4 separate regions of the Mus musculus genome follow, and all the other regions are reported to be linked to region 4. The links are microRNA targets in miRTarBase. Many come from high-throughput screens and were not tested one by one. Region 4 holds a microRNA gene; each other region holds the end of a gene's coding sequence.

Region 1 (7,126 bases), not on the chromosome of region 4:
CTGACCCATATGACTGCTAGAGTCCCCCAAGTAGTTCAATAACCTTGAGGCAGGGTGTGCTGATCCAGGCTTGAGCGATAGAGATAATTTGTGCAAGGAGGTGGGGTCTACATCTTTCAAGCAGTAGCTCCTAAGTGGAGAAAGTCTGTGGTTGTGTCCAAGTCCTAGGACTAACCCCTCTTTCAAATTGGCTGAGCTCTGTAGTTGTTCCTTGTTTCCGTGAACAATTGAAGAACAAAGGGTCAGAGAGAAGCCAGGAAGCTAACTGGAATGGCTGCCCCTTCCCATGAACAAAACATCACAAATGTGTAGAGATAATGTAAAGATAATGCCTTGTGTACTCTATAAAACTATTCACCTGTCAATAAAAAAATGCTGTTGGCCTATTAGCTTAGGCAGGAAATAGGAGGTGGGAATTCCAGTAAGAACAAAGGATTCTGGGATAGAGAGGAGCACAGAGGATTGTCCCCAGGACCCTTAAGGAGGACAGACTCATGAAAGCTGAGCAGAGGTAACTAGCCACATGGGAGAACTCAGAATAAACAAAATATTAAATTGCGAGCTAGTTGGAGAATACGCAAAGCTTTGGCCTAGGCATTTGTAAATAAATATAAGTCTTGGAGTTGTTATTCTGGGAGCTTGGAGCTGGGAGGGAAAACACGAGCTAACAGAAAACATCCCAGTGCAGAAATAGAGTCGTGTGTACCACTGAAGAGAGAGCTGAGTGCATCCTACATGTGTGAAGTATGTTGAAATTGCTAAAGGTGTCATTAAGTACAAGATAAAACCACCCAAAGAAACAGAAGAAAGGGAAATGAGGTACATGCTGCGAGCTTCTAACAGCTGAGCAACTATTTGTTTCAAAGGTATTTGTTGGGCTGCCCATGTAAGAGGAGAGCATTTAAAATAATGAGAAAACAGGAGTGTGTAGCATGCATAGTGCATCATGGGACTTCTCCGTGTGACACAGAAAGTGACAGCACAGTAATCTGACTTGCCAGGCAGTGGTGGCGCACGCCTTTAATCCCAGCACTTGGGAGGCAGAGGCAGGTGGATTTCTGAGTTCGAGGCCAGCCTGGTCTACAGAGTGAGTTGCAGGACAGCCAGGGCTATACAGAGAAACCCTGTCTCGAAAACAACAACAACAACAAAACAAAAACCTCTGACTGAAGGGTGTGGGCTTTATTATACAAGGAGGACATAGCAACTCTTGAGTCAAGAGGGTCATCAGATTGAGCTTCCAAAGAGGTCACTGTGGATTAGCAGCACAATCGTCAGTCATTAAGTGATTCACAGACCGGAACCGCCATCTTCCTGGAGAAACGGAGACTTCAAATCCAGGGCTCTGTGCCAGTGCTGCCTAATCAGAAAGCAGGTGTACAGCCCAGCCTGCCCAGGTGATGCCGACACAGGCCAGGCCAGACTGTGACGTGGCCACTGTGGGGCATCCAGGGGACAAAAGGGGAGCAGAGGAAAACAGAAGAGGATCCTAGAGCTCCCTGTGCAGAAGTGGACGGGAACACTGTGAGGAAACACCCTCAACAGACACTCAGCGCCCTTTGAGGTGAGTCCGCCTAAACAAAGAGGAAAGTAAAATGGGAATTTTTAAAATGAGAAAAAGGAGTGCTCATGAAACAGGAATGAAGGATAAAATTGGTACTTCTCAAAGTATCCTTCGGCTTGATGAAATTAAATCGCAAAGATCTCATCTCACTTTCAGGGTGAAAAAGGTCACGTGAATTCCCCTCTCTAGAAAATTGGAACTTTCCTCACCCTGTGATTGGGCAGGGAGCAAATAGGTCCTTCAATCCAATGAATGACCCGAAGTGGCCAAAGAAAAGGGAAGTTCTTGCCAAACAGGAGATTTGGCAGCTGTTTGTAGGAAACTTTTTCCAAATTAGGCAATTGAGTATAACCATGGTCATCTTTTGTACCTAAACCTTTTATCGGCTTGATTGACCACTGAATTTTACAGCAAGAAAATTATAGCTTTGAGATGAAAACTTTAACTTTAAAACTTCAAATGGCATCTTTATTTTCAAGAAGATGAAAATGTTTAGATTTTGTGTTTCTAACGCTAATCTGAAGTCCTGCTACTACCAGCAATTATTCACACTAATTTTTAATTTTTCTCAACTAAAATTTGAAGTTGATACAGAAAAGTTTGCCCTGTTTTGTACTTTTATGTTGTTTATGTTGTGTCAAATCTTTTGCATGCTAGGCAAGGGTTCCTCCCCTGGACTATAGATCCTTTAGTCTACCTGTTTTGTGCCCTTTGTATTAGTGAGTTTCACATTACTACAATGAAATACCCAAGTCAATTAAATGTTTAAAAGGGCAAGGTTGGTTGAGCTCATAGTTCTCAAAGTTCAAGGCATAGCTGAAGCGGCCGTGTGCTTCAGCCTCTGACGAAAATGACTCATCATAGCTGGGACGGGGAGAGAAGCAAGTGGTCAGAGCTTTAACACATCAGAAACAGAAGTAAGGATGATGGCATACACACAACAATCACTTCTGAGGGCATCAATGCTTATGATCTAAAGACATGCACTGGACCCTGCTCCCCACAGCCTCGGCCGTCTCCCAGGAATTCGACCCTGTGAACCAAGCTTTCATTCACAGCTGTTTGAGGTACAGTCAGCCAGCATGCAAACCCGGCATTTCTGCCTTCACATACAATGTTATTTAAAATATAAAATGGTCCTCGATGACAAAGTTGTACAAGTCCGTTTGCTTTCATATTTTATGACGTATACACAGTATTTACTTCAAGAGAGTCCCTTACGGAGTAAATAGGCAGGAAATGCCTTTGATAATGCTCATTATATCCAATCAGATTCTTACTCCAAGAACAGATAACTGCAATGATTTTTATGGAAATTTTAATCAGCAAATTGAAAAAAAAATAAGTTTGTAACCATATTTTACATAGAAATATTCAACTTTCCCAATATTTTCACAAACAGTGGTACAAAAGTTGACTCTAAATGCATCCAATGCGTTTTTAAGAGCTAAACGGACATGCACTAGGTTGCCCCCGTTCTCAGTGATGCTGGGAAGGAAGCCTAGGATCTTGCACAAGCTCAGTAAGAGTTTTACCGCTGAACCGCAGCCCTTTACCTTGGTTGCCTCCTTATCAACAATCTTCATGGGAAGATTCAGAGGGAATCAGTTCACAGAGTTCTTCAGTGTTTCTCAAGCTCAGCCCTACCCAATGTGTCTACATCATATGTTCAGCTTATTTCATGAAACAAACCACATGACGTGTGCTTTCCATAAGTAAGATGAAGTTCAGAGATCTTAGTAGTCATGTATTTCATAACATCCTAATGTGGGGCCATATTAGAAACCACGTAAAGGAGCTGAGCTGGCCAAAGACTGGTCTAAATAATTACCCACGACTTGTGAAAATGTGTTCACATTTCAGACTCCTCTGAAAGTGTGTGGTCATTATCCAGAGTGCTAATGGTACTTTCCTGAACCTAATTCCATACATGGCACCAGCAATCTCATTGGGGACACTTAAATGTCTCCACATGTCACCAGAGAAACACAATGACCCATGCTGGTAACTACTGGTCTCAAGAGAAAAAAAGAGAGCATGCAAACAATCCACTTACTGATAACATGACTCTGTGATGTTTTACACCTGACCTATAAAGTTTTCACCTCTCTGTAGGATGAATAGGACTGAATCATGTCTTTCTTTAAGGTTTATAGTCTTTCCTGTTGATTCTCAAATGTATTTTTACTCCTGTGGCACATATTTTTTAGGGAAGGGTTTTGTTTTTGTTTTTGTTTTGTTTTGTTTTTTTTACTTCATGATAGTAAAGATTCTTCTTAGTTCAAAAAAAACCTAGCAAATAATATTTGCCTCAAATCACTTGAGTTAATGAAATCCTGGTCTGTCAAAACTCAGGTCTTTCACACTACTTTTTTGAGGTGGGCAGCCTCATTCTTATATCAGCATTAAATGAAATTAAGGGCAAAGTCAAAGGCATACTTGTCAGCAGCAAGACACTGACAGACAACCTGTACAATTGTTTTCTTCCATTAAGGTTTTTGTGTTTTAATAAAACTAAGAAAAGATTATTTACTTTACATTGTAATATGCTGACATATCCCTCATATTTATATTAGTCCCATGTTTTAAAAGTTAAAAATAAATACTTTTTAAGTAATAGCAACATCTTTTGACTTTAAGAATTCTATCTGGCATTCCTGTGCATTTGTAAAAATAAGACAGTGGTATTTCCAAATCTCACAAGGATATACTTTGTCTTACAGGAAGTTGACAAACTCGTTTGGAATACCACTTCTCATGAAGAACACGTTGAGTAACCTTTGTGCAGTCAGATCAAAGAAAAAGTTAATCAAATAACCTGATTCTCATTGCCAAAACTGAAGCATCATGTGTATGTGTGTGTGTGTGTATGTATATGTATATTTTTTTTCAGAATCATCTAATAAATAACTATACTTCAAATCATAGTTATATAAGATTACATATATAAAATTACATAACCATGCTCATTAGAGTACTGCAAGATAATCACAAAACTTGATTTTTGTTTACAAATATAGTAATCAATAAATAGATCTATATACATAAGAAATACATGAATACATAGTTGATTCAAATGGCATATAAATCTCTTTGTTTCAGATAAATGCTAATATTTTTGATATTTTAGTTTTTATTATCAGTTAAGAGCCTTTAAAAGTAAATAGTATAGCCTTCAAATATAATAGACCAAAAATATGTATAAAATTATGAATTATTTTTAAAATATCAGTATTTCTTTTCTTAAAATATTGAAAACTTTTTAAAAATTTAAGCAATATCTAATGTGGGTATCATAGAAAAATAAGTTATTGATGAAACTCTGTAACACAAGTTTTAGCTATGAATGTAGCCAAATAAATGGCTAAGAACTTTGAAATTACTGCTTGAAATCTTAGAAAATAGAAAAAAAGCATGCATTTAATAACCTGAAACATGTGAAAAAATAAAGAAGTATTTCCCTATGAAGTTCTTTAACTATATGAATTAGTAATTCAACTTAACAGCATTAAAAGCAATTGTGCGACTCCATGGGACTTCACCGTTTTCAAATATTTAATGTTCTTGGGTTACCCAATACACAAGAAGCATGTGTTAGCACAGGATGGGATCTGGGGACTGAAGGAAAGAGGTGACATAGTTTATATTGGATGTCTCAAGACATATCTAAACCCAGGGCAAAAAGCAAGAAGCTGGAACAGTTAAGTCCAGGTAACATGCTCTACAAAAGCAAGGTTATTAGAACAGAAGTTGGGAATAAAGATTAAAAATTATAGTCGATAGTTGATAGTCTACAGTCAATGGTCTATAATCTATAGTCAATAGTCTATGAAAAGCACTGTACTTGGCAATTGTCAGGAATCTCAGCAGAGGAAAAACAGGCACAAGAATGCATTAAAGATGAACTTGATCGTTGGGTACCTAGTGTATCCTAGGCAGGATGCTGCTATTTACCCATTCAGAGGCAGACTCAGAGGCAAGGTTATAGCATGGGCTGATCCAGAAGTAAAGTCCACAGAAGTGCTCTACTCCTCCTCCTGTCCCTGCTGCCTAGAAACAGGATATTCAGGGGGAGGAAAGAAATCTCTTTCCAAGATTTATTATTCTAGTAAAGTTCCCAGAATATACATATACTAGCACCAAAGGCATGTAAAATGTTTTCAGTAATGCCCAAACGTAAGAATATGCCTTTGATTATCAAGAACCATGTGTGTATGTCTGTATTTGCCTTTCACACATGTATGTAGTTATAAACATCCACAACCAGAGCTCGTGTTGAAACTCCTAACTCCAGGATAGCATCAATCAACCAGTGTATAAAGTGAGCCAAATCGGGATTTGGCTTTAATAAAATATATCTTCCAAAAACAATCATGATAGGAAAAAACTGATCTGATCCAACTATCCTAAAACATGTTTAAAGAAAAGCAAAACAAAAACAAAACAGACATTATACAATGTCATCTAGCCCTGGAGATGCTTCACAAGCGAGTCCCATTGATCTTGCCACTGTGATCTGTGAAGTTCAGCTCAACATGGTTGAAGGCAGGGTTATCAGTTCCACCAACTTCCACAGGATGCAATTTATAGTTTAAAACATGATTCCTCTGAAAGATAAAGGGTAACATGGAAATTTTTTTTAAAAATCATTATTTGTTCAATGACAGATAACTGATACCAACTTTTTATTTCTCTAAATCAGCTTGGTAATCCACTAAGGGAGAGTGAAATGCAAACATACACAAGGCAGCAGAAGCTAGCGTGGTATACGATATGCATTTGAGCTATGAATAGCCATGTGTGTGAAGAAGTTATGAACTATCTATCGACAGCCATATATTCTCTTAAATAGTTCATATCTATTAACTGTATACCTGCATCTACAGGTACACATATACACATACAGATACAGACATAGAAATATCCCTTCTGTGTGCCTGTCCAAGAAAAGAGCTGGGGACTAACTATTGCTCTGTTCAGGTAATTAAAAACCCAGTTTCCTAATTTAAGAATAAATAAAACCTAACTTACTTTCTTAAAAACATCAAAATTGGATAAAAAGTCCTGTTTGGTTAGTAAGAATCGGGGATCTAAGTTCTGTTTTCTTCCTCCTGAAAAACAAATCCATTATTTACAGAGTTAGACAGATACCTTATAATTACATATTAACCCACCCCCACACCCATCACACAGGCATCTGGCTTATGAACATTCAGCTTTATGCACACATAAAATACAAAGAAAACCTTGAAAGTAGTCCTGAAGATCCAGCTGCCACTCCCCTCTCCTCCATCTTGGACCCCACAGCTTCTAACTGATAAATGTAAATATTGTGATATCTACATAGATAAATAGATAATAGAGAGATAATAGATACAGAGAGATAATAGCTCCCAATCCTAATCTGATTGCTTCATCTGGTGCTACCTGGATAAAGACTTGTCTGTCCCAAAAATGATTAAAAAAATAAAAAATGAGAAGCAGCCCACACAACCTACCTATAAAGTGGCAAACTGTCACCTCTGCCTCTGCCTCTCTGCCTCTCTGCCTCTCTGCCTCTCT
Region 2 (7,124 bases), not on the chromosome of region 4:
ACTTTTGTTTTCAGGTATGTTTAGGGATGCTTCATCAGTCTTCCATGTGTATGTTTCAAAGGGTTTGGTGTTAAATGCTGGCTCTTCCTCACATCTGCCCCTTCCTTTGACCACAATGCATTGCTGCTCTCCAGATTAAAGCTGGGTCTTGCGAGCTTTTCATAGCAAGCCCAGCTAATCCAGATGATGGTTGGATAACGACTTTCCATGCATTTGTTTGCAATATGCAATGTTGCAGTTGAGGTATCTCTCTTGTACACTACCTTCTGATACTGTTTTTCCATCCAATTTTATTAACCCCTGCCATTTTCATTCCAATGCTTTGTTCCTTTACATGTAATTTGTTTTCAAGTTTAAATTTCCGTTTCGTTAGCTGTCTCATTCAAGAAACTTGTTCTATTTTTCCTTGATTTGATATCAAGGGTTTTTTTTCACCTAAAAATTATTTTTTCTTAAAACTCTTGTTATGGTGGCAAATGAAAACTAATTAAAAAAATAAAAGGATTCAGAGGTCTGTTGTCTTCACCTGTTACGTTCTTGTACGATAGCTTAGAAACTTCTGAACCTGTTTTAGATACAGAAACTGATACCATGACTAAGGGATGGTAGATATGATCATGCTTCACTATAGAAAACATTTTAATACCTATATTTATTCCATGACACAGTGCAGTATATATGCAAACTAAAAATCACTCTAAAAATAAATTAAGTCAAGAAATCATTCCATTGTATTTTTCTCAATGTCTAATAACTCCCTAGAAAATTATCCATTTCATTTGTACATACAAATTTAGTTGTACCAAAGAACATAGATTTCTGATTAAATGATATACGGAAACATCTGTACTTGTTCAGTCCCCACCCCTGGCCTGCCCCATGATGAGGCCAGATCCTCAGCCTCACAATTTTTTCTAGAATACTCAGACGCCATTGGGTGCTCACATGTACATAGTTCTTCATTTTCAGCCTCAGCCTGTGGATTCTTCACTTCCTCTGAACATCTTTAAACCTTGAGCACTACCTTTCTGGTTTTTTTCTCCAATTCTCCAGTCTTTAGCAGGATGGCTGTTTGAGTCACACAGTTTACCATTAGGAGAATAAACTTCTCCTTGTCTTTTCACATATTAAAGCAAAAGCAGAGGAAGCAGTAAGGCAAGGCACAAGGACAGCACCTTTGTCACACGAAGTTTGAATGAAAAAAAAAACATCATTTGATTTCTTCAGCATAATCAGGAGTCCTGTTTGATCTGGGCCTATAAAAAGAATGTCCTCTGCAGCTTAGATTGCAGTGTTCTCTCAATGACACGTAAGTCACACCACACCTGAGTTGACATCCCCAGGTTTATTTGGGGATGGGGGGCGTGGTGGAAGGGGTGGTTTTAGTCTAACCAATTAGCGAGGAGTGCTAAACTCTTCAAGTATGTTTATGGATAATTTCTGGATTTGTTTCGGAGCTAATTATCCACAGTCTTTATGAAAGTGAGGTTAAGCATGGTGGCCATGAAACATACACTAACTAGAGGACTGGCCATGAGGCTGTCACACTGGAAGGGGTGGACAAGGACCTAAGCTATTCTTTAATTCCTTTTTTACAAGATGGAAGCATAACTGGGTGGGATCTTGCCTTGAGGTCACGGCTCCATTTATCATTTAATGTCTTTAATCTGTTTATCTCCTTGAACATGAAATTTAGCTCAATTCTGCTTCCTGGTGCCCCTTTTCTCCTTGATCTCTACATTTTGTATTTTTCCTTGCTCAGCGTGCTTCTTCTCAGCAGTACACGCTTCATAAGGGTAAACATTAGTAACCACAAAATGGAGTCTAAACTAGGCTGTTTTGAGATTTCCTTTACCAATGCAATTAATTCAAAATTCCTCACTTTGGCCTCAGGCAGAATTTTTGGACAATGGCAAAATGCAGGCAAATTCTTTGCCAAACTATCACAAGAATAGTCTCTAGGCCATTAATAGTCTTCTCTAAAACCTCCTGGGTCAGGCGCTCTACAGTTCAAATCACTGTCAGCACCACTTTCTTCCATGTTCCTATTAGATGGCCCATTAAACACCACTTAATGTGTGCAAATGCTTTTCTAACCCAAAATCCAAGGACCCACATTCTTCCAAACAAAAGCATGCTCAGGCCTTTCACAGCAATATCACAGTTCCTGGTACCAACTTTTGTCTTAGGGTTTCTATTGCTATGACCACATTGCATTATGACCACAGCAACTTTTATAAAGAAAAACATTTAATTGGGACTGGCTTGAGGTCTAGTCTATTATTGCCATGGCAAGAAACAAGGCAGTATGCAGATAGACACAGCCCTGGAGAAGGAGTTGAGAGTTCCTACATCTTGATCCGCAAGCAGCAGGAGACTGTGTGTCACACTGGGCAAAGCCTGAGCTTATGAGACCTCAAAGCTGTCCCCAACTGTGGCATACGTCCTCTAACAAGGTAACATCTTCTAATAGTCCCACTCCCTATGGGCCCACAGGTAGGCAGAAGGCCTGAGTAGCAGTCCAGTGTGTGCCTGCCAAACAGTTCTACCTCTGGGACGTGAGTGAGAGCAGTTCCACGTTGACACTGATAATCACTACACTCACAAACGTTAGAATACAAACCATCATCTTGTATGACAGCACCGCAGGACCCAAATGGATCTTTGGACTTTCACATAGTCTCTCAAGCAATGCCTGGGGTATGTGCTGGGAGAAGGACAGTATAGCGATACACAACACTAGGTAAAGAAAGTGGCAAAGCGTCATCTAAGCTCTAGAAGTGGAGGGCCTAGGAAATTATTCTGGCTCCGTGAAACTCAACAGCAAGAGCTAAACTGCAGGTAGATGTGTGTCATCTATTCATATGAATGTTCCCAATTTTTAAAGACCTCTCTTTCAGAGTAAAGAACAAATAGTTTTCTTAGTTCCTACCAGTGTTTGGTTAATTTAAAAATACTGACTGACTGAATGCTCTCCTAGAGAGAATGTAGTTGAATCCATAGGCTTTTGGTAAGTCACTAAAGGTCTATAGTTCTGCAAAAGACAAAGTTTAAATACTCTAACCACACCCACTGTTCAGTAATCAGTTTATAGTCTCTTCCCTTTTACTCTAAGCCATTAATCTTAGTTCAAGAGGTTGTGCAAATTTACTCTGGGTTTCTTGCCAATGATGCCTTCATACTATATGTATTTTATATATTGTTTTAAAAATTGGTTGTTATATACCTTTAATCCTGGTTTTAAAAAAGATCTGTAATGAATGTCTGTAAAGGTCTTTATAGAACCACTCAAGTCATGAACATTCAGTTTTCACAGTATGTACATTTTGTAAGTTGACAAATTAAGAAGGCTGATATATTTGTTTGGGTAGACTTTATTTACATACATTTTAATCATAAGCAAAGTCATTATCTACAAGTTGAAACAATGTACTCCCTTTAACTTAAGGCACTGCAAACTTCCTTATAGCACACTCACTATATTTACATGCTGTTTGAGAACTGACAATAAATACATACTCTACACCTAATCTTTGTCCTTCTTTTGTAATGTTATAAATTAAAAATGAAATGAGCCACTCTTCACAAAAAGAATTAAAGCCAACAAGCCTTAAAGCTTCCCAGGTGGGCAGAGAGGGATACATCCAAGACCAGTGCAAAGGCAGAGCCTTTAATATCCCAAGGCTTTACCTGTGGGTTCTTAAAGGAAACCTTCTGGGCAGCACTGCCAGCACGCCTTTGCCATACCCTACTGCTTTTACAGAAGAGCACACATGATAGGTGGCTAACAGGAACACACCTGGACCTCTACTAGAGAGTCAAGGTACTAAATTCTGAGCTGACTAGTGCAATTACCAACAAGTACACAGACAAACACGTTCCCATTATCTTTGGGTACTATCACCAAGAGCTAAATATTTTGGAAGCCAAATATTTTCTCCTGAACAGAAAGCAGAGCAGGTTTAGCTAACACAAACACTAAATCTCCATGTCAAAGCCTATCTTTACTAAGAAGGTTTTCTCAGAGCAAAACTACAGCCAGGGGCTTTAGTTTTTGTTTTTCAAGGATACAAACGAACTAGCAGAAAGTTCAATATGATAATATACTTGATTAAACAAATACTATTCTTGTCTCCTGAATAAGCACTTTATAACATTTTAACTAGTTTTAGTATTCTGAGAACAGAATAAAATACAAAATAAATCCATGTGCTGCAAGGACTAAGACACTGGCAGAGCATCCCTTCCCATCCCAGCCTTTATAAAAGTCTGTTCTACACATGGACACCAAGTGTAAGGTGCAGCCAGGGGAAGGAGACCGCACTGGGATTGTGCTGGGATCCGCAGCACTGTGGGAGCTAAACTGTCTTCAACTCTGCTGGAGACAAGTCCTAAGTGCCCACCTACTTCTTCTCAAAGCGAATATTGCAGTTTGTTACTTTCTTAAATGGAAATTGAAATAAGCAGAGATTTCTCTATTGTTTTACTTGATCAACCCTTCAACCTTTAGTATCTCTACTGCATGTAACAAAATAAATCAGAACACTTATGAACAAAATCATTCCTATCCTGTTCTTAAAACATCCATTCTGTGACCAAGAGCATAGATTATGTACGCAGTACAGAAATGCCTCTCAAAACCCAAATACAATGAGGCTCCAGACATCAAACTTTAAGGAAATTCACAGTGAGCCAGTTCAGCGCAATAAATCTAAGATGACTGACAAGTGTCGAGAGTCATCACGGATCATCGGTGTCTACCTGCACTGCATACTTTAGACCCATCTTGCGTCTCAAGAGCAATAATCAAGTTTGCTTTACGTTGTCAGAATGCGGGAGATCACCCCAGTACCAGGAAGCAGTGGTCTGTTGTCCAATGGACATCATGTAGGCTGTTTTGATAGCTCTGGCTCTGAGGACCCAGCTGTGGAGGGAGTGAATGATGACAGTGCTTCCCAACAACTCTCTGGTTCTCGGAGTTATGATGAGTCAGGCGAGCAAGCGAGCAGTAGCAGGGCTGGAGCTGCTCTGCCCTTAGCACGCAGCTGCTGCCAGGGCAGAAGACACTCAACTCCATTTTACATGGCTGACCACTCGACTGCACAGAAGGCACATTCAAGAGCCACAAAGGTCAAGTTCAAAACCCTGACCTTGCAGCTTTATACTCTCGTCATATTTTTTTTCCTACAGCATTGAACACTTCCAATAAACATGAGAATTGAAAATTATAACAAAAATATGGTATTTTTAATAGTGATATTAAGTTATGAGTTGGTAAAAGTATGCGCATAAAGTCTGCAAGAAGTAGCCTTTCCTTGAGCCGAACCTTCCTCGACAGCTGTGTTCTGGCACATGTCCCTTTCACATGTCACATGACCTCTGCACATTCACTCATACAAACACACTGGCACACACAACTTGCTCAGAGACGTTAAACACAAACAGAGAAGAATTTTTCTCTATGCTCTTTGAAACTTCTTATAAACAATAGTATCCAAAAATGTAACTAAAACAAACAGATGAACAAACAAAACCCCAAGGTATTGCTATGTAACCAAGCTGGACTCCATCTCAAGGCCTCTGCCTCATCTTTCCTACTTGTGTGCACCACTGTGCCCAGCCCCAGACTCAGCTTCTGAGGTGTCAACAGCTGACGGGTCTTACTAAGCTCGGGCTCTACATCACATAGTCTTCCTTGGGTTTTGATTGTTTTTAGCAGCTTTATTTAAAACAGTTTCTTTGTATGCTACAGTTATGCCCTGTGGCTAATCGGTTTTATTAACTATCACAGAATTTCCTATCTCAAGGGTTTTCTTGGGACACACACTAACTAAAGACAAATATAAAAATATATGCAACTTTTTCTCTAGGGTACACAAAATGCACAAATTACATAAATAGTTTTGTGTCATTTACAAATATATAAACTTGTTAGAAAAGCATGCCTATTAAATTCTGGTATATTTTCACTTAAAGATATATTTCATTGAAAGTAAAGAAAGAAGAAAGGAAGAATAATGGAAAGAAGGAAGGAAGGAAAGAAAGAAGGAAGGAAGGAAAGAAGGAAGAAGGACTCAAGTTTTGTTTTGTTTTTTTGTTTTGTTTTGTTTTTTCTCAAAGGCTAGTCTTGCTAGGGACATTAGTGGTTTGAACTGATTTACCAGCAATTAAATACCATCAGGGTTATTTGCATCAGGCAACACACCAAAACAGGGCACACACACACACACACACACACACACACACACACCCCAGAGTAATTTTGCCATGTGTGTCTTGTCTTTTGAAATATACCTTTTTTATGGCTGTAACACCACTCCTTGCATGGATCCTTAGTTTTGAAATTAATAAGACATGGTGAATTAATCAATTAAAGGGTCATCGTCATCTTCCTGCAGCTGAAGACGGGAGAATGGACGGGATGTGGATGCTCTGCTCCGCATGAATATCATGAGGCCTGTTAGCATGGTTAATACCAATAGTGCACTAACAACAATTCCAATGGCTTCTGGGAGATTAATGCACCACTGGTCCACCAACAAGCACTTGGTATGACTGAGGGTTCCATTATTGGGATGTGGTTTTAGTCCCAGGATGTGGCACATCATTGGATAAATATCCACAGTGTTGATGGTGCTCTGCCTGTAACCTTTTCTAAAGGCAGGTCCGTGGGCAGCAAGAAACGGGTGCATACTAGGCAGGGAATTATCATAGCCATGGTCACCTACTGGAAGAAAAGACAAAATTACGTTATTAAACATCAGTGTTTTACTACAGAATATCTTGTTCACTATAACTACACCAGCTTCTTGTCTCCATCCATTAAGGTTCTGGCTGGCTGCACTAAACAGAAGCCAGACGTGAAAATCTGTTTCCTTCAGCTTAAGGCAGCCTGCATTTCACACGCACACACCTCTTTTCCCAGGGACCACAGCTTTAGACTTCAACACTTCTCAACCTGAGGTACTTATGTTTCAGCTCTAAGCCCCTTATTTCACCTACTCATCCCCAGTGCTAGTTGCAAGAGCTGAGGGTCCTGTACAACTGGGAGAGAAGAAAGAACACTGAATGGGGGATGGGATTCCAGACTTAACTCTCTCAGTTGTTCTAATAAGCAACACCAT
Region 3 (7,126 bases), not on the chromosome of region 4:
TGTGTAAGAACTTAGCAGACAATCCAACCCTGCCTCGGCCACCTTCCCGGTTTGGGGGTAACCTGTCTTGATAACTGCCCGTGTTCTTTCAGTCTCTAGTGATCCCTGAGAAGTTCCAGCACATTTTGCGAGTACTCAACACCAACATCGATGGGCGGCGGAAAATAGCCTTCGCCATCACTGCCATTAAGGTAAAAGTGTTAGGGGCAAAAGAGAAGCAGCTAAACTCACCCAACCCGTTTCAATAAAAGCCTGATGATGACCCAGGGTTAAACCAAAACATTGCTCCAGGGGTAGTGGGGTGTGAGTGTAGTCATGTCCCACCTTGCAGAGGTTTCCCGAGATCTTCAGCTTCCGAGAGCAGTCTCTGCTGTCAGCAAACCTTGAGTAGAATTCCTGTAAACTAACATCCTAAGAGGTGTCCAGGCTTAGCGGTGATGGTTGGGGGTGGTCTGCAGAAGCTATTGGCAGATGCCACAGTGGAAGGTGACACAGAAGCTGGCAGTTTTCCCCATTATGGCAAAAAGGGAGGTCGTAGGAGGAAGCTGGGATGTTTCTCTGCAGAGCTAAAAGTCTTGTAGACAGGGACAGGACTTGAAGTTGGTGATTTGAGGAGTTGCTGGTCAGGTGTGTTCAGCCATGAGACCTGTCAGTGGTGGGACCTTGTGGGATGCTAGGGTATAGATGGAACTGGGTGGCTGCTGAGAGGTTTGAAGGAGGCCTGGGGAGCCGAGGTAATGTCAGGTGGACATAAAAGTTGGAGTAAATTTTTTTAACCTTGTGAAGTCTCACTTTTAAGTCCTTGCCATGTTGACTTTTTTTAATTCTGCACTTTGGCAAACAATGATAGCACAGCAGGAGGTGCCTGGTGTGGTGGGCAGAGCAGTGTCTAGGGGGTTGAAGGGCCTGGGGCAATGCCTGTGCCCCGTGTGACCTGCTGGGAGATGATTACAGCTGACTTCGAATGCAGACAAGGTGAATGGAGGCTCTTGAAGGGGCTGTGCACAGTGTTTGTAGAGCCTGGGTACTGAGGGTTCTGTTGGTCCTGTGTGAGAGGGTGAAGAACACATCTTTAATGCCAGCACTCCCTGAGGCAGAGGCAAACAAATCTCTGGGCTTGAAGCCAGCCCGATCAATAAGTTCCAGGGCTACACAAGAAAAAACAAAAAAAAACCTGCCTGGAAAACAAAAGGGTGAAGCTGATTGGGAGGTGGGTGGTGGGTATTGGGAGTTTGAGGAGAGAGATTTCGGGGTGAGTTCCTCCAGAGGTGATTGCAAGCTGACCAACAAAGGGTGAAGGACAGGGAAGGTTTCTGTATTCTTTAATTTTTTTTTTCCCTCTTTTGGTTTTTGGAGACAGGGTTTCTCTGTATAGCCCTGGCTGTCCTGGAACTCACTCTGTAGACCAGGCTGGCCTTGAACTCAGAAATCCGCCTGCCTCTGCCTCCCAAGCGCTGGGATTAAAGGCGTGCACCACCACGCCGGGCAGATTTCTGTATTAATTAAGAAGTGTCTTCTGCTCACTCAAGGTGAGAATTTGAATATTTGGAAGCATATAGGCATGTGCTGGACCAGAAGTGCTTGCTGCCCTTATCTGTGAGGCAGTCTAGTACTGTCTGAATCCCAGTCCCTCCAAACTGCTTTAAGTGTTAGGAGTCGGTTCTTTATAATTTAAGTTAGTGCTTAAGTCAGAAGGCAAGGTGGGCGTGGGGCCACACTTTGTAGCTGAGCATAGGTCCCTTGCCTTGTCACCATAACCAACCTGGCATCATGCACCTTTAGAACTCACAGCTTGACAGTAAAACAGGCTCAAGAAAAGTAAAAAATTATATGGAGGCTGAGGTGAGGGTTGTGAAGGTTTTTGGCCTGCATGTCTGTGCATACTGTGCCTCTGGAGGCCAAAAGAGTGACTTAGATCCTCTCTCATTGGGAGTTCGAGTTATGAATGAGTGCTTGGTATATAGTCCAGGTCCTGGAAGAGCAGCCAGTGCACTGAGCCATTTCTCTAGCTCATTCAATGACACTTCCCCCTCCCCGCTAATTCTGGTAGTCACAAAGTCACACCCACTCTTGGGGCTCAAAAAACCTGTTAAAGGTTTGACTTTGTTCATCTGTGCTGCTTTTGTTGAGTTTGTGACACATGTCCAGTGTGGCCCGAACAGCGTTCCCTTCAGTTAGTAGGCAGGCTTTGTCTCTGGAAAGTGATCTGAAAAATGACAGGATCTCTAACTTAGGCTGGCCATAGCAGTCCCGAGTTCAGGGAGCTGGGATAACATCTGCACAGCCCCTCTGCTTTTGAGTAATAGGGTGTGTGTGAGGGGGCTGGAGAGGTGGCTTGGCTGTTAGAGCATTAGCTGCTCTTCCAGAGGATCCAGGTTCAATGACCCAACACTCAACAACCATTAACTCCAGTTCCAGAACATCAGCGCCTTCTGGCCTCTGGTCAGTGTGCCACAGACACACAGACATACAATGCAGGCAAACATAAGACACAAATAGACTGGGCTAGAGAGAGAATCCAGCTGTTAAAAGCTATGACTTCTTCCAGAGGCTCCCAGTGACCACATGGTGGCTCACAACCATCTGTAATGGATTCTGATACCCTCTGGTATCTCTGAAAACTCTGTACTCAGATCTTTAAAAACAAAAGTCTAATAGCCCAAACTTTTGACCTCAGGGCGTGGGGCGGAGATATGCTCATGTGGTGTTGAGGAAAGCAGACATCGACCTCACCAAGAGGGCTGGAGAACTCACGGAGGATGAGGTGGAGCGAGTGATCACCATCATGCAGAACCCACGACAGTACAAGATCCCAGACTGGTTCCTGAACAGACAGAAGGATGTGAAGGATGGGAAGTACAGCCAGGTGTGTTAGGGGACTGGTGGACACGGGTTGTCCGTTAAAACTGGGTGCAGAATCAGGAGATAAAGTTGTCTCCCCTGTCTCAAAATCTAGGTTCTGGCCAACGGTCTAGACAACAAGCTGCGTGAGGACCTGGAGAGGCTGAAGAAAATTCGAGCCCATAGAGGGCTGCGCCACTTTTGGGGGTAAGTGGGTGATGAGGCTTAAGCTGCCCACTCCCAATCAGGCTGCACAGTCCACCGGCTCGCCTCCTGCTGCTCTGTGACCTGTATCTTTTTCTTCTGCAGCCTTCGTGTCCGCGGTCAGCACACCAAGACCACTGGCCGCAGGGGCCGAACTGTGGGTGTATCCAAGAAGAAATGAGTCTCTGGGCCTTTGCTGTTAATAAATAGTTTATATACCTATGACCTCCGTCTCAGTTTGTCTTCCATCTGATAGTACTTAATGCCACAGCGATCCTGAGCTCTGGTAGTTTAATCTGGCTGCAGGTGCCTTCTGGGTACAGTGCTCTTGGTGCACTTGAACGGAAATGTCCCTCATAGGCTCCTGCTGGTGTTTGCTCCTCCCTTTCTGTTGGGTGTTCACAAGGAGACTGCCTTAGGTGCAGCAAACTGGGCGGCAACCACTGTTAAAGGTGGGGCAGCCGGTGTTGAAAACCTCCAGGGGAAGCTTGGGCAGGCTTCAATTGAGTCTCCTGCCGTAGCCGTGCTAAGCTGTTGTGAAGTGGCTACAGCTCCGCCAGATGCTGCTGCTCGGGTGAGTTAACAGCAGATGCTGGCTGCTCTAGAAAAGCAGCCTGGTATTCCGCGTGCTTTACAGTAGGGACGGACCGGGAAGGGCTGGACCTATGTGAAATGCACGCCGCTTGTCGGCTTCCGGCCTAGAGAGGCATGATGGGAAGGTGCGGGGAGGGGCGGGATGGAGCGGAGTTCCGCGTGCACGCTAGCTAGGGAAACGAAGCCTTCCGGGGCCAGCTGTGGTGGGCCAGGGCCGCATTGCACGACAGCATCTGGAGAACAGCATCTGTGATGCGCCAGAGCCCCGCGCATGGGTCACCGCGTCTCCTCAGCAGCAGCTGGTTAAAGCCGTCCTCCCACCTCCCCACGCTCTAACAGCTGTGCCCACAGGTCTCTGCGGCACGCCATGCCCCTCAGCCTCTTCCGGCGCGTCCTCCTGGCGGTCCTACTACTGGTGATCATCTGGACCCTGTTTGGACCTTCAGGCTTGGGGGAGGAGCTGCTGAGCCTGTCCCTGGCATCCCTGCTGCCGGCCCCAGCCTCGCCAGGACCGCCCCTCGCCCTGCCCCGCCTCTTGATTTCTAACTCTCATGCCTGTGGTGGCTCCGGACCCCCTCCCTTCCTGCTCATCCTGGTGTGTACGGCCCCGGAGCACCTGAACCAGAGAAACGCCATTCGGGCATCTTGGGGTGCCATCCGCGAAGCCCGGGGTTTCAGAGTGCAGACGCTCTTCCTCCTGGGAAAACCTAGAAGACAGCAGCTTGCTGACCTGTCCTCAGAGTCAGCAGCACACAGGGATATCTTGCAGGCCTCCTTCCAGGATTCCTACCGCAACCTCACCCTCAAGACCCTCAGTGGACTGAACTGGGTGAACAAATACTGTCCTATGGCCCGCTACATCCTCAAGACGGATGATGACGTGTATGTCAACGTCCCAGAGCTGGTGTCAGAGCTGATACAAAGAGGGGGGCCTTCGGAGCAATGGCAGAAGGGCAAAGAGGCCCAGGAAGAGACAACAGCTATCCATGAAGAGCACAGAGGCCAGGCAGTGCCCCTTCTGTATTTAGGCAGGGTGCACTGGAGGGTGAGACCCACTCGGACACCAGAGTCCCGGCACCATGTGTCAGAAGAACTGTGGCCGGAAAACTGGGGTCCTTTTCCACCCTATGCCTCGGGCACAGGATATGTACTGTCCATCTCTGCTGTGCAGCTCATCCTGAAGGTGGCCAGCCGGGCCCCACCTCTACCTCTAGAGGATGTCTTTGTGGGAGTAAGTGCAAGGCGAGGGGGCCTTGCCCCCACACACTGTGTCAAATTGGCTGGTGCTACCCACTACCCCTTGGATCGGTGCTGTTACGGGAAGTTCCTGCTGACATCCCACAAGGTGGATCCCTGGCAAATGCAGGAAGCTTGGAAGCTGGTGAGCGGCATGAATGGGGAGAGGACTGCACCCTTTTGCTCCTGGCTCCAGGGATTTCTGGGTACCTTGAGGTGCCGGTTCATAGCCTGGTTCAGTAGCTGAGAACCCACAGAAAACAGCACCTCAGAGACCTTTCCCCAAAGTTGGTGCAGAGGCTGCAGATCCCTGTGGTGATCTAGTTCCTCCATTTTCTCACAGCAAACTCTGAAGCTGCAACCAACCAAGTTTACCAAGATAAACTTGGGCCCTGGCCTGCCAGCTCCGGGGAGGGATAAAGCCAAGGGCGGGAAGGGGACTCACAAGCAGGGACAAGGGTCCAATAAACATGTCTCTCTACCTCAAGTGCAGCGTCTTCACCAGGCCCCCAGCACACCTGGAGAGCCCAGAGCTTTCAGTACTGCTGCATGTTGGTCTTTGCGACAACCACAATGGGGATAACGCCCCCCTCTAGGGTGAAGGCTTGGGCAGTGGTGGGGAGACAGGCAGGGCAGTGAGCTGAGTCTAGAATAGCCACACAGGGAAGAGCAGACCTACAGGATGGTCCAGACACGTCTCCAGAAACCTTGTTTAATGCCCACACACCCAAGGAGCTGTCTGCTCCTACCCAGTTAAGATGTAAGGCACATGGGACAATTTCCCTATGGATCTTTGTGTTCCCTTTATATATGTGTGTGTGTGTGTGTGTGTGTGTGTGTGTGTGTGTGTGCGCGCTGCCCCATGTGGGCATGGAAAGGTAAAAAGACACTTGTGTGTTTTCTCCTGCCAAACGTGTTTTCTGGGAACTGAACTCAAGTTTGGCATCAAGTGCCTTTGCCCACTGAGCACTCTGGCCCCTAAGGGTCAACTTGGAGACCGCCTTCTCTGGCTCGTCGTACAAATCTATCCAGTGCAGAGGGACGGGCTCCAGGAGGCATGGCCATATCCTGCTTTTTCTTCTGCTGCTGCTGCTCAAGGCTCTGCCGGACTTTGTCCTGGAACAAGGTGGGAAAGGAGCGTAAGGCACTGAGCATAGGCTGATAAGGCTGCAGGCGTGCATGCCAACACCCGCCCGAGCTCACATACCCTGTGCTCCTGGTCCATGACCTTCTTCTTCCTCTTCACTAGGCTCGCCGTAGAGCTTCGGCCCTTCTGCTTGGCCTTGGGCTGAAAGGCAGCCTTGGCGTCTGGATCATAGCCCTGGCATGGGACATGAAGGAGGTCAACAGCAGGCCCAGTGCCCTGGCAGCACCTATATCCTGCGCTGCACTTCAGGATGGGGTGGGGTATAGAGGCGAGGGCTGGACACTCGGGCTGCGCACATAGCAGGTGGCTCCATACCAGTCTCTCTATCCGCTCCTTCTTCTGCTGCTCCAGAGTGACCACATCCACCTCTGCCAGGGCTCGGGGGTTCAAACAAATGAGCTCTGCAGGTACCTGCGAGGGTCACAGGACAGCGATGTGTAAGGAGCCACGGGGAGGTGACACCAGAAAGGGATGGGAGCCAGGGAGGGCCGGGCTCCAGCACAGCTCACCTTCTCCAGCAGGGCCTTCACCTCCCATTCCTGGCGCTGCTTCCGGCTCCGGTATGGGTTATTCTCCAAACCATCAAAGTTAGGCTCCGCAGCCCCTGAGGGAGGGAGGCAGAGAGGGAAGAGCATGGAGCTGAACCTCGTCCTGCAACTCTGGACTGACCGGCCCACGGCCTCTCACACTTGTAATGACGCTGGGCCACTCACCAGGGACCAGCATGCTGGTGAAGCCTCCACTGTGCCCCACCCCCAACACGTCTTCAAAGGGGCAGAACTGGAGCCCATGCACGTGGCCTGAGAGCCGGTGGGTGAGGTAGGGCTGCTCCAGGGAGGGTGGGCTGGCCTTGCCCTGCCCTGCCCATATGTTGACCACATCACCCATTCCCGCAACTAACAGTCCCCGCTGGGAAAAGGCCAAGTGCCCTGCTCCCTGGGGCAAGGTCCGGGAACTCAGGGGCTGGAATGTCCCTCGCAAGTCAAAGATCTTCAGCTGGTGGTCCAGACCAGAGGTGGCCATGTACCTGTGTGGGACATGGATCAATTAGCCTCTCGTGGGGATTGACCAGAGCCTGTGGCCAAGTCCAAAGTATCTACTGTG
Region 4 (7,126 bases):
ATCCTGGCATTCATGTGATTGCCCCTATGTATGTGTGTATGTGTTGATGTGTGTGTACATGTACATATGTGAATATGATATACATATACATACACGCACACATAAGACACATATGAGCACACAGACACATGGGAATGGCACTCATCAATCCATTTGAGTGATAAGTGACTTAGAGTGAAAATGCTTGCTAGAGTTAAGAGTATCAGGAGTTCAAATTCATACTTATCCTCATGAGAGATCAGCTTGTGATTCCTCCATGTATGTGCATGTGTGTATAGTTGTGTGTGCATGTTCATGTCTATATTTGAATATACATAACATACACACACACGTATAAACGCAAGCACACATACACAGACACAGGAATGGCATTCGCCAATCCCTTTGAATGATAAGTGATGTAGAGTTTTAGAGATTATGCAATAGGGGGCATTGAATGGCCTCACTCACCAGGTGTAAAAGATTGACAAAGTCAGGAGGATAAGGATTGCAAATTCATGCTTAACTTCATTTGGAGACATCTTGGTATTAATGTCATGCAACCCATTTATGTGCATGTGTGCTTACTTGTATGTGCATTGTATGTGTTGACATGATATACATAACATAAACACACGTGTATCTGCAAGCACACACACACAGGAAAAATTGCATTCATTTATACGTTTGAATGATATGTGACTTAAAGTTTTCAAGATTATGCAGTAGTGGGACAGTGAATGGTTTTACTCACCAGGTGTGAAAGATTGTGGATCAGGAGTTCAAATGCATGCTTTACTACATGATGACTTAGAGATATGCCTGGGATTCATGTGATGCCCCCTATGTATCCCTATCTGTATCTGTTTCTATTGTGTGTGGATTTGAGTATATGGATGTACCTATCTACACAAATATATACATGTACACAGACACAAACAGAAACACACACACAAACATCAGTGCAACTCATCGATCCATTTGAATGACGTGTGACTTAGAGTTTTAAGATTCCTCAGTACTGAATGGGGAGAGGTCTCACTCAGCAGGTGAAATCCCTTGACAGAGTCAGTTGGATCAGGAGTTCAAATTCGTGCTGAATTTCATGATGAGTTCATGACCAGCATGGGATTCATCTTATGCCCACCAAAAATGTGCATGTGTGTATAGTTGTGTGCATATTCACTTCTCTATATGAATATGCATATACACACATGCACACACATTCATAGGAATGGCCAGAGCTATGTCTCAGTTAGGAGGTGAGCACTCTTGCCAGTGTCAGGAGGATGAGGAGTTCAAAATCATGTTTAACTTCATGATGAGTTAGAGTTCAGCATGCGATTCATGTGATGTCCACCAAGAATGTGCATGTGTGTATAGTTGTGTACATATTCACTTTTGTATATGAATATGCATATACTCACATGCAAACATACTCCCACGAATGGCCCGAGCTATGACTCAGTTAGGAGGTGAATACTCTTGCCAGCATCATGAGGATGAGCAGTTCAAATTCATGTTTAACTTTTTGATGAGTTAGAGATCAGCCCGGAATTCATGAGATTTTCCCTGTGTTTGTGTTTATGTGTATAGGGAAGTATGCCTGTACATGCACGTATATGAACATGCATATATATATATATATATATATATATATACATACATATATATATATATACACACACACACAACTAGGGACACATACATGTGCACACAAACACACATGGCAGTCATCCATTTGATTTATACGTGCTTAGAGTTTCATTGAGTTTATATTCATGGTATAGGGAAAAATCTCACTTATCAAATGAAAACTGTTTGCCAGAGTTAGGAGTCTCAGGAGGTCAAATTCATGCTTAACTTCATGATGAGTTAGAGATCACCCTGGATTTGTGGGATCGACCCTAGTTATGTACATTTGCATATAATTGTGTGTGCACGTACATGTGTATATATGATCATCCCTGTAAATACACACACATACAAATGTATTCACACATACAGGCATGCACACTCACACACATAAGAATGACACTCATTGATCCATTTGAATGATATATGTCTTAGAATTTTGCTGATTATAAAGTAGAGGGACAGTGAATATTCTCTCTCACCAGGTGTAAACAATTGGCAGTGTCAGGAAGATCAGGAGTTCAATTTTATGCTTAACTTCATGAGCAGTTAGAGATCATCCTGGAATAATGTGATGGCCCCTATGTATGTGCCTGTGTGCGTAAGTGCCTGCATGTATATGCGTGTATATTTTATGCATATACATACACACACCTACACACACATGCACACAGACATGCGGGAATGGCACTCACGGATCCATTTGAATGATATGTGACCTACTGCTTTGGAGGTTATGTATGACTGGGCCAGGGTGAGGTCTCACAAACCACGGGAAACCCTTGGTAGAGTCGGGAAGATCAGGAGTGCAAGTTCATGGTAAAGGCATGATGTGTTAGAGGTCATCCTGGCATTCATGTGATTGCCCCTATGTATGTGTGTATGTGTTGATGTGTGTGTACATGTACATATGTGAATATGATATACATATACATACACGCACACATAAGACACATATGAGCACACAGACACATGGGAATGGCACTCATCAATCCATTTGAGTGATAAGTGACTTAGAGTGAAAATGCTTGCTAGAGTTAAGGGTATCAGGAGTTCAAATTCATACTTATCCTCATGAGAGATCAGCCTGTGATTCCTCCATGTATGTGCATGTGTGTATAGTTGTGTGTGCATGTTCATGTCTATATTTGAATATACATAACATACACACACACGTATAAACGCAAGCACACATACACAGACACAGGAATGGCATTCGCCAATCCCTTTGAATGATAAGTGATGTAGAGTTTTAGCGATTATGCAATAGGGGACATTGAATGGTCTCACCCACCAGGTGTAAAAGATTGACAAAGTCAGGAGGATAAGGATTGCAAATTCATGCTTAATTCAGTTAGAGATCATCCTGGTATTCATGTGAGGCCACCCATGTATGTGCATGTGTGTTTACTTGTATATGCATTGCCTCTGTTGACATGATATACAAAATATAAACACACGTGTATATGCAAGTACAGACACAGAGAAAAAAATTGCATTCATTTATACGTTTGAATGATATGTGACTTAAAGTTTTAGATTATGCAGTTTGGGACAGTGAATGGTTTTACTCACCAGGTGTGAAAGATTGTGGATCAGGAGTTCAAATTCATGCTTTACTTCATGATGACTTTAAGATATGCCTGGGATTCATGTGATGCCCCTATGTATCCCTATCTGTATCTGTTTCTATTGTGTGTGGATTTGAGTATATGGATGTACCTATCTACACAAATATATACATGTACACAGACACAAACAGAAACACACACACAAACATCAGTGCAACTCATCGATCCATTTGAATGACGTGTGACTTAGAGTTTTAAGATTCCTCAGTACTGAATGGGGAGAGGTCTCACTCAGCAGGTGAAATCCCTTGACAGAGTCAGGTGGATCAGGAGTTCAAATTTGTGCTGAATTTCATGATGAGTTCATGACCAGCATGGGATTCATCTTATGCCCATCAAAAATTTGCATGTGTGTATAGTTGTGTGCATATTCACTTCTCTATATGAATATGCATATACACACATGCACACACATTCATAGGAATGGCCAGAGCTATGTCTCAGTTAGGAGGTGAGTACTCTTGCCAGTGTCAGGAGGATGAGGAATTCAAATTTATGTTTAACTTCATGATGAGTTAGAGTTCAGTATGCGATTCATGTGATGCCCACCAAGAATGTGCATGTGTGTATAGTTGTGTATATATTCACTTCTGTATATGAATATGCATATACTCACATGCAAACATATTCCCACGAATGGCCCGAGCTATGACTCAGTTAGGAGGTGAATACTCTTGCCAGCATCATGAGGATGAGTAGTTCAAATTCATGTTTAACTTTATGATGAGTTAGAGATCAGCCCGGAATTCATGTGATTTTCCCTGTGTTTGTGTTTATGTGTATAGGGAAGTATGCCTGTACATGCGCGTATATGAACATGCATATATATATATGTATATATATGTATATATGTATACACACACACACACACAACTAGGGACACATACATGTGCACACAAACACACATGGCAGTCATCCATTTGATTTATGCGTGCTTTGAGTTTCATTGAGTGTATATTCATGGTATAGGGAAAAATCTCACTTATCAAATGAAAACCACTTGCCAGAGTTAGGAGTCTCAGGAGTTCAAATTCATGCTTAACTTCATAATGAGTTAGAGATCACCCTGTATTTGTGTGATGGATCCTAGGTATGCAAAAGTGCATATAATTGTGTGTGCACGTACATGTGTGTATATGATCATACATATAAATACACACACATATAAAATGTATTCACACACACAGGCATGCACACTCACACACATAAGAATGACACTCATTGATCCATTTGAATGATATATGTCTTAGAATTTTGCTGATTATAAAGTAGAGGGATAGTGAAGGTCTCACTCACCAGGTGTAAACAATTGGCAGTGTCAGGAGGATCAGGAGTTCAATTTCATGCTTAACTTCATGAGCAGTTAGAGATCATCCTGGAATAATGTGATGGCCCCTTTGTATGTGCCCGTGTGCGTAAGTGCCTGCATGTATATGCGTGTATATTTTATGCATATACATACACACACCAACACACACATGCACACAGACATGCGGGAATGTCCCTCACGGATCCATTTGAATGATATGTGACCTACTGCTTTGGAGGTTATGTATGACTGGGCCAGGGTGAGGTCTCACAAACCACGGGAAAACCCTTGATAGAGTCAGGAAGATCAGGAGTGCAAGTTCATGGTAAAGGCATGATGAGTTAGAGGTCATCCTGGCATTCATGTGATTGCCCCTATGTATGTGTATATGTGTTGATGTGTGTGTGCATGTACATATGTGAATATGATATACATATACATACACGCACACATAAGACACATATGAGCACACAGACACAGGGGAATGGCACTCATCAATCCATTTGAGTGATAAGTGACTTAGAGTGAAAATGCTTGCTAGAGTTAAGAGTATCAGGAGTTCAAATTTACACTTATCCTCATGAGAGATCAGCCTGTGATTCCTCCATGTATGTGCATGTGTGTATAGTTGTGTGTGCATGTTCATGTCTATATTTGAATATACATAACATACACACACACGTATAAACGCAAGCACACATACACAGACACAGGAATGGCATTCGCCAATCCCTTAGAATGATAAGTGATGTAGAGTTTTAGAGATTATGCAATAGGGGACATTGAATGACCTCACCCACCAGGTGTAAAAGATTGACAAAGTCAGGAGGATAAGGATTGCAAATTCATGCTTAATTCAGTTAGAGGTCATCCTGGTATTCATATGAGGCCACCCATGTATGTGCATGTGTGTTTACTTGTATATGCATTGCCTCTGTTGACATGATATTCAAAATATAAACACACGTGTATATGCAAGTACAGACACAGAGAAAAAAATTGCATTCATTTATACGTTTGAATGATATGTGACTTAAAGTTTTAGATTATGCAGTTTGGGACAGTGAATGGTTTTACTCACCAGGTGTGACAGATTGTGGATCAGGAGTTCAAATTCATGCTTTACTTCATGATGACTTTAAGATATGCCTGGGATTCATGTGATGCCCCCTATGTATCTCTATCTGTATCTGTTTCTATTGTGTGTGGATTTGAGTATATGGATGTACCTATCTACACAAATATATACATGTACACAGACACAAACAGAAACACACACACAAACATCAGTGCAACTCATCGATCCATTTGAATGACGTGTGACTTAGAGTTTTAAGATTCCTCAGTACTGAATGGGGAGAGGTCTCACTCAGCAGGTGAAGTCCCTTCACAGAGTCAGGTTGATCAGGAGTTCAAATTTGTGCTGAATTTCATGATGAGTTCATGACCAGCATGGGATTCATCTTATGCCCACCAAAAATTTGCATGTGTGTATAGTTGTGTGCATATTCACTTCTCTATATGAATATGCATATACACACATGCACACACATTCATAGGAATGGCCAGAGCTATGTCTCAGTTAGGAGGTGAGTACTCTTGCCAGTGTCAGGAGGATGAGGAATTCAAATTTATGTTTAACTTCATGATGAGTTAGAGTTCAGTATGCGATTCATGTGATGCCCACCAGAATGTGCATGTGTGTATAGTTGTGTACATATTCACTTCTGTATATGAATATGCATATACTCACATGCAAACATACTCCCTCGAATGGCCTGAGCTATGACACAGTTAGGAGGTGAATACTCTTGCCAGCATCATGAGGATGAGTAGTTCAAATTCATGTTTAACTTTATGATGAGTTAGAGATCAGCCCGGAATTCATGTGATTTTCCCTGTGTTTGTGTTTATGTGTATAGGGAAGTATGCCTGTACATGCGCGTATATGAACATGCATATATATATATATATATATATATGTATACACACCCACACAACTAGGGACACATACATGTGCACACAAACACACATGGCAGTCATCCATTTGATTTATACGTGCTTATAATTTCATTGAGTGTATATTCATGGTATAGGGAATAATCTCACTTATCAGATGAAAACCACTTGCCAGAGTTAGGAGTCTCAGGAGTTCAAATTCATGCTTAACTTCATAATGAGTTAGAGATCACCCTGTATTTGTGTGATGGATCCTAGGTATGCACAAGTGCATATAATTGTGTGTGCACGTACATGTGTGTATATGATCATACATATAAATACACACACATACAAATGTATTCACACACACAGGCGTGCACACTCACACACATAAGAATGACACTCATTGATCCATTTGAATGATATATGTCTTAGAATTTTGCTGATTATAAAGTAGAGGGACAGTGAAGGTCTCACTCACCAGGTGTAAATAATTGGCAGTGTCAGGAGGATCAGGAGTTCAATTTCATGCTTAACTTCATGAGCAGTTAGAGATCATCCTGGAATAATGTGATGGCCCCTATGTATGTGCCCGTGTGCGTAAGTGCCTGCATGTATATGCGTGTATATT

Evidence for each region. The annotated mature microRNA mmu-miR-466e-5p reads GAUGUGUGUGUACAUGUACAUA and lies in region 4 at 2,504-2,525, shown strand. An mRNA with a match to its seed (bases 2 to 7 or 8) in the 3' UTR can be bound and repressed. Matches are read on the target gene's strand: a 7mer-m8 pairs with bases 2 to 8, a 7mer-A1 pairs with bases 2 to 7 and ends in A, and an 8mer does both.
Region 1: miRTarBase lists Slc5a8 as a target of mmu-miR-466e-5p. Seed matches in the 3' UTR shown: 7mer-m8 at 5,771-5,777 and 8mer at 4,417-4,424.
Region 2: the mRNA of Enpp4 is a reported target of mmu-miR-466e-5p. Seed matches in the 3' UTR shown: 7mer-m8 at 6,268-6,274.
Region 3: miRTarBase lists Wdr46 as a target of mmu-miR-466e-5p. Seed matches in the 3' UTR shown: 8mer at 5,685-5,692.

Annotation. Positions count from the first base shown.
Region 1 is chr10:88,925,255-88,932,380 of GRCm38, reverse strand. Slc5a8 (solute carrier family 5 (iodide transporter), member 8) reads right to left here. Exons shown (of 15, transcript NM_145423.2): 14 at 6,596-6,675; 15 at 2,866-6,171. The coding sequence ends at 6,046. Among named protein-coding and RNA genes, the nearest start is that of Slc5a8, 43 kb to the right of the region's middle.
Region 2 is chr17:44,092,951-44,100,074 of GRCm38, forward strand. It overlaps Enpp4 (ectonucleotide pyrophosphatase/phosphodiesterase 4), which reads right to left. Exons shown (of 4, transcript NM_199016.2): 4 at 3,359-6,727. The coding sequence ends at 6,363. Among named protein-coding and RNA genes, the nearest start is that of Gm34917, 9.3 kb to the right of the region's middle.
Region 3 is chr17:33,948,143-33,955,268 of GRCm38, reverse strand. Wdr46 (WD repeat domain 46) reads right to left here. Exons shown (of 15, transcript NM_020603.2): 11 at 6,736-7,049; 12 at 6,532-6,626; 13 at 6,338-6,433; 14 at 6,083-6,196; 15 at 5,574-5,991. The coding sequence ends at 5,854. B3galt4 (UDP-Gal:betaGlcNAc beta 1,3-galactosyltransferase, polypeptide 4) reads left to right here and starts at 3,781. Exons shown (of 1, transcript NM_019420.2): 1 at 3,781-5,357. The coding sequence starts at 4,007. The coding sequence ends at 5,122. It overlaps Rps18 (ribosomal protein S18), which reads left to right. Exons shown (of 5, transcript NM_011296.3): 2 at 93-191; 3 at 2,678-2,866; 4 at 2,957-3,048; 5 at 3,151-3,271. The coding sequence ends at 3,226.
Region 4 is chr2:10,476,596-10,483,721 of GRCm38, forward strand. It overlaps Mir466e (microRNA 466e), which reads left to right and starts at 2,493; the gene lies at 2,493-2,576. All of the region lies in intron 10 of Sfmbt2 (Scm-like with four mbt domains 2), which reads left to right. Mir466b-8 (microRNA 466b-8) reads left to right here and starts at 33; the gene lies at 33-118. It overlaps Mir669a-1 (microRNA 669a-1), which reads left to right and starts at 258; the gene lies at 258-354. It also overlaps Mir669g, Mir669j, Mir467a-2, Mir669a-4, Mir467b and Mir466c-1, and 2 more genes.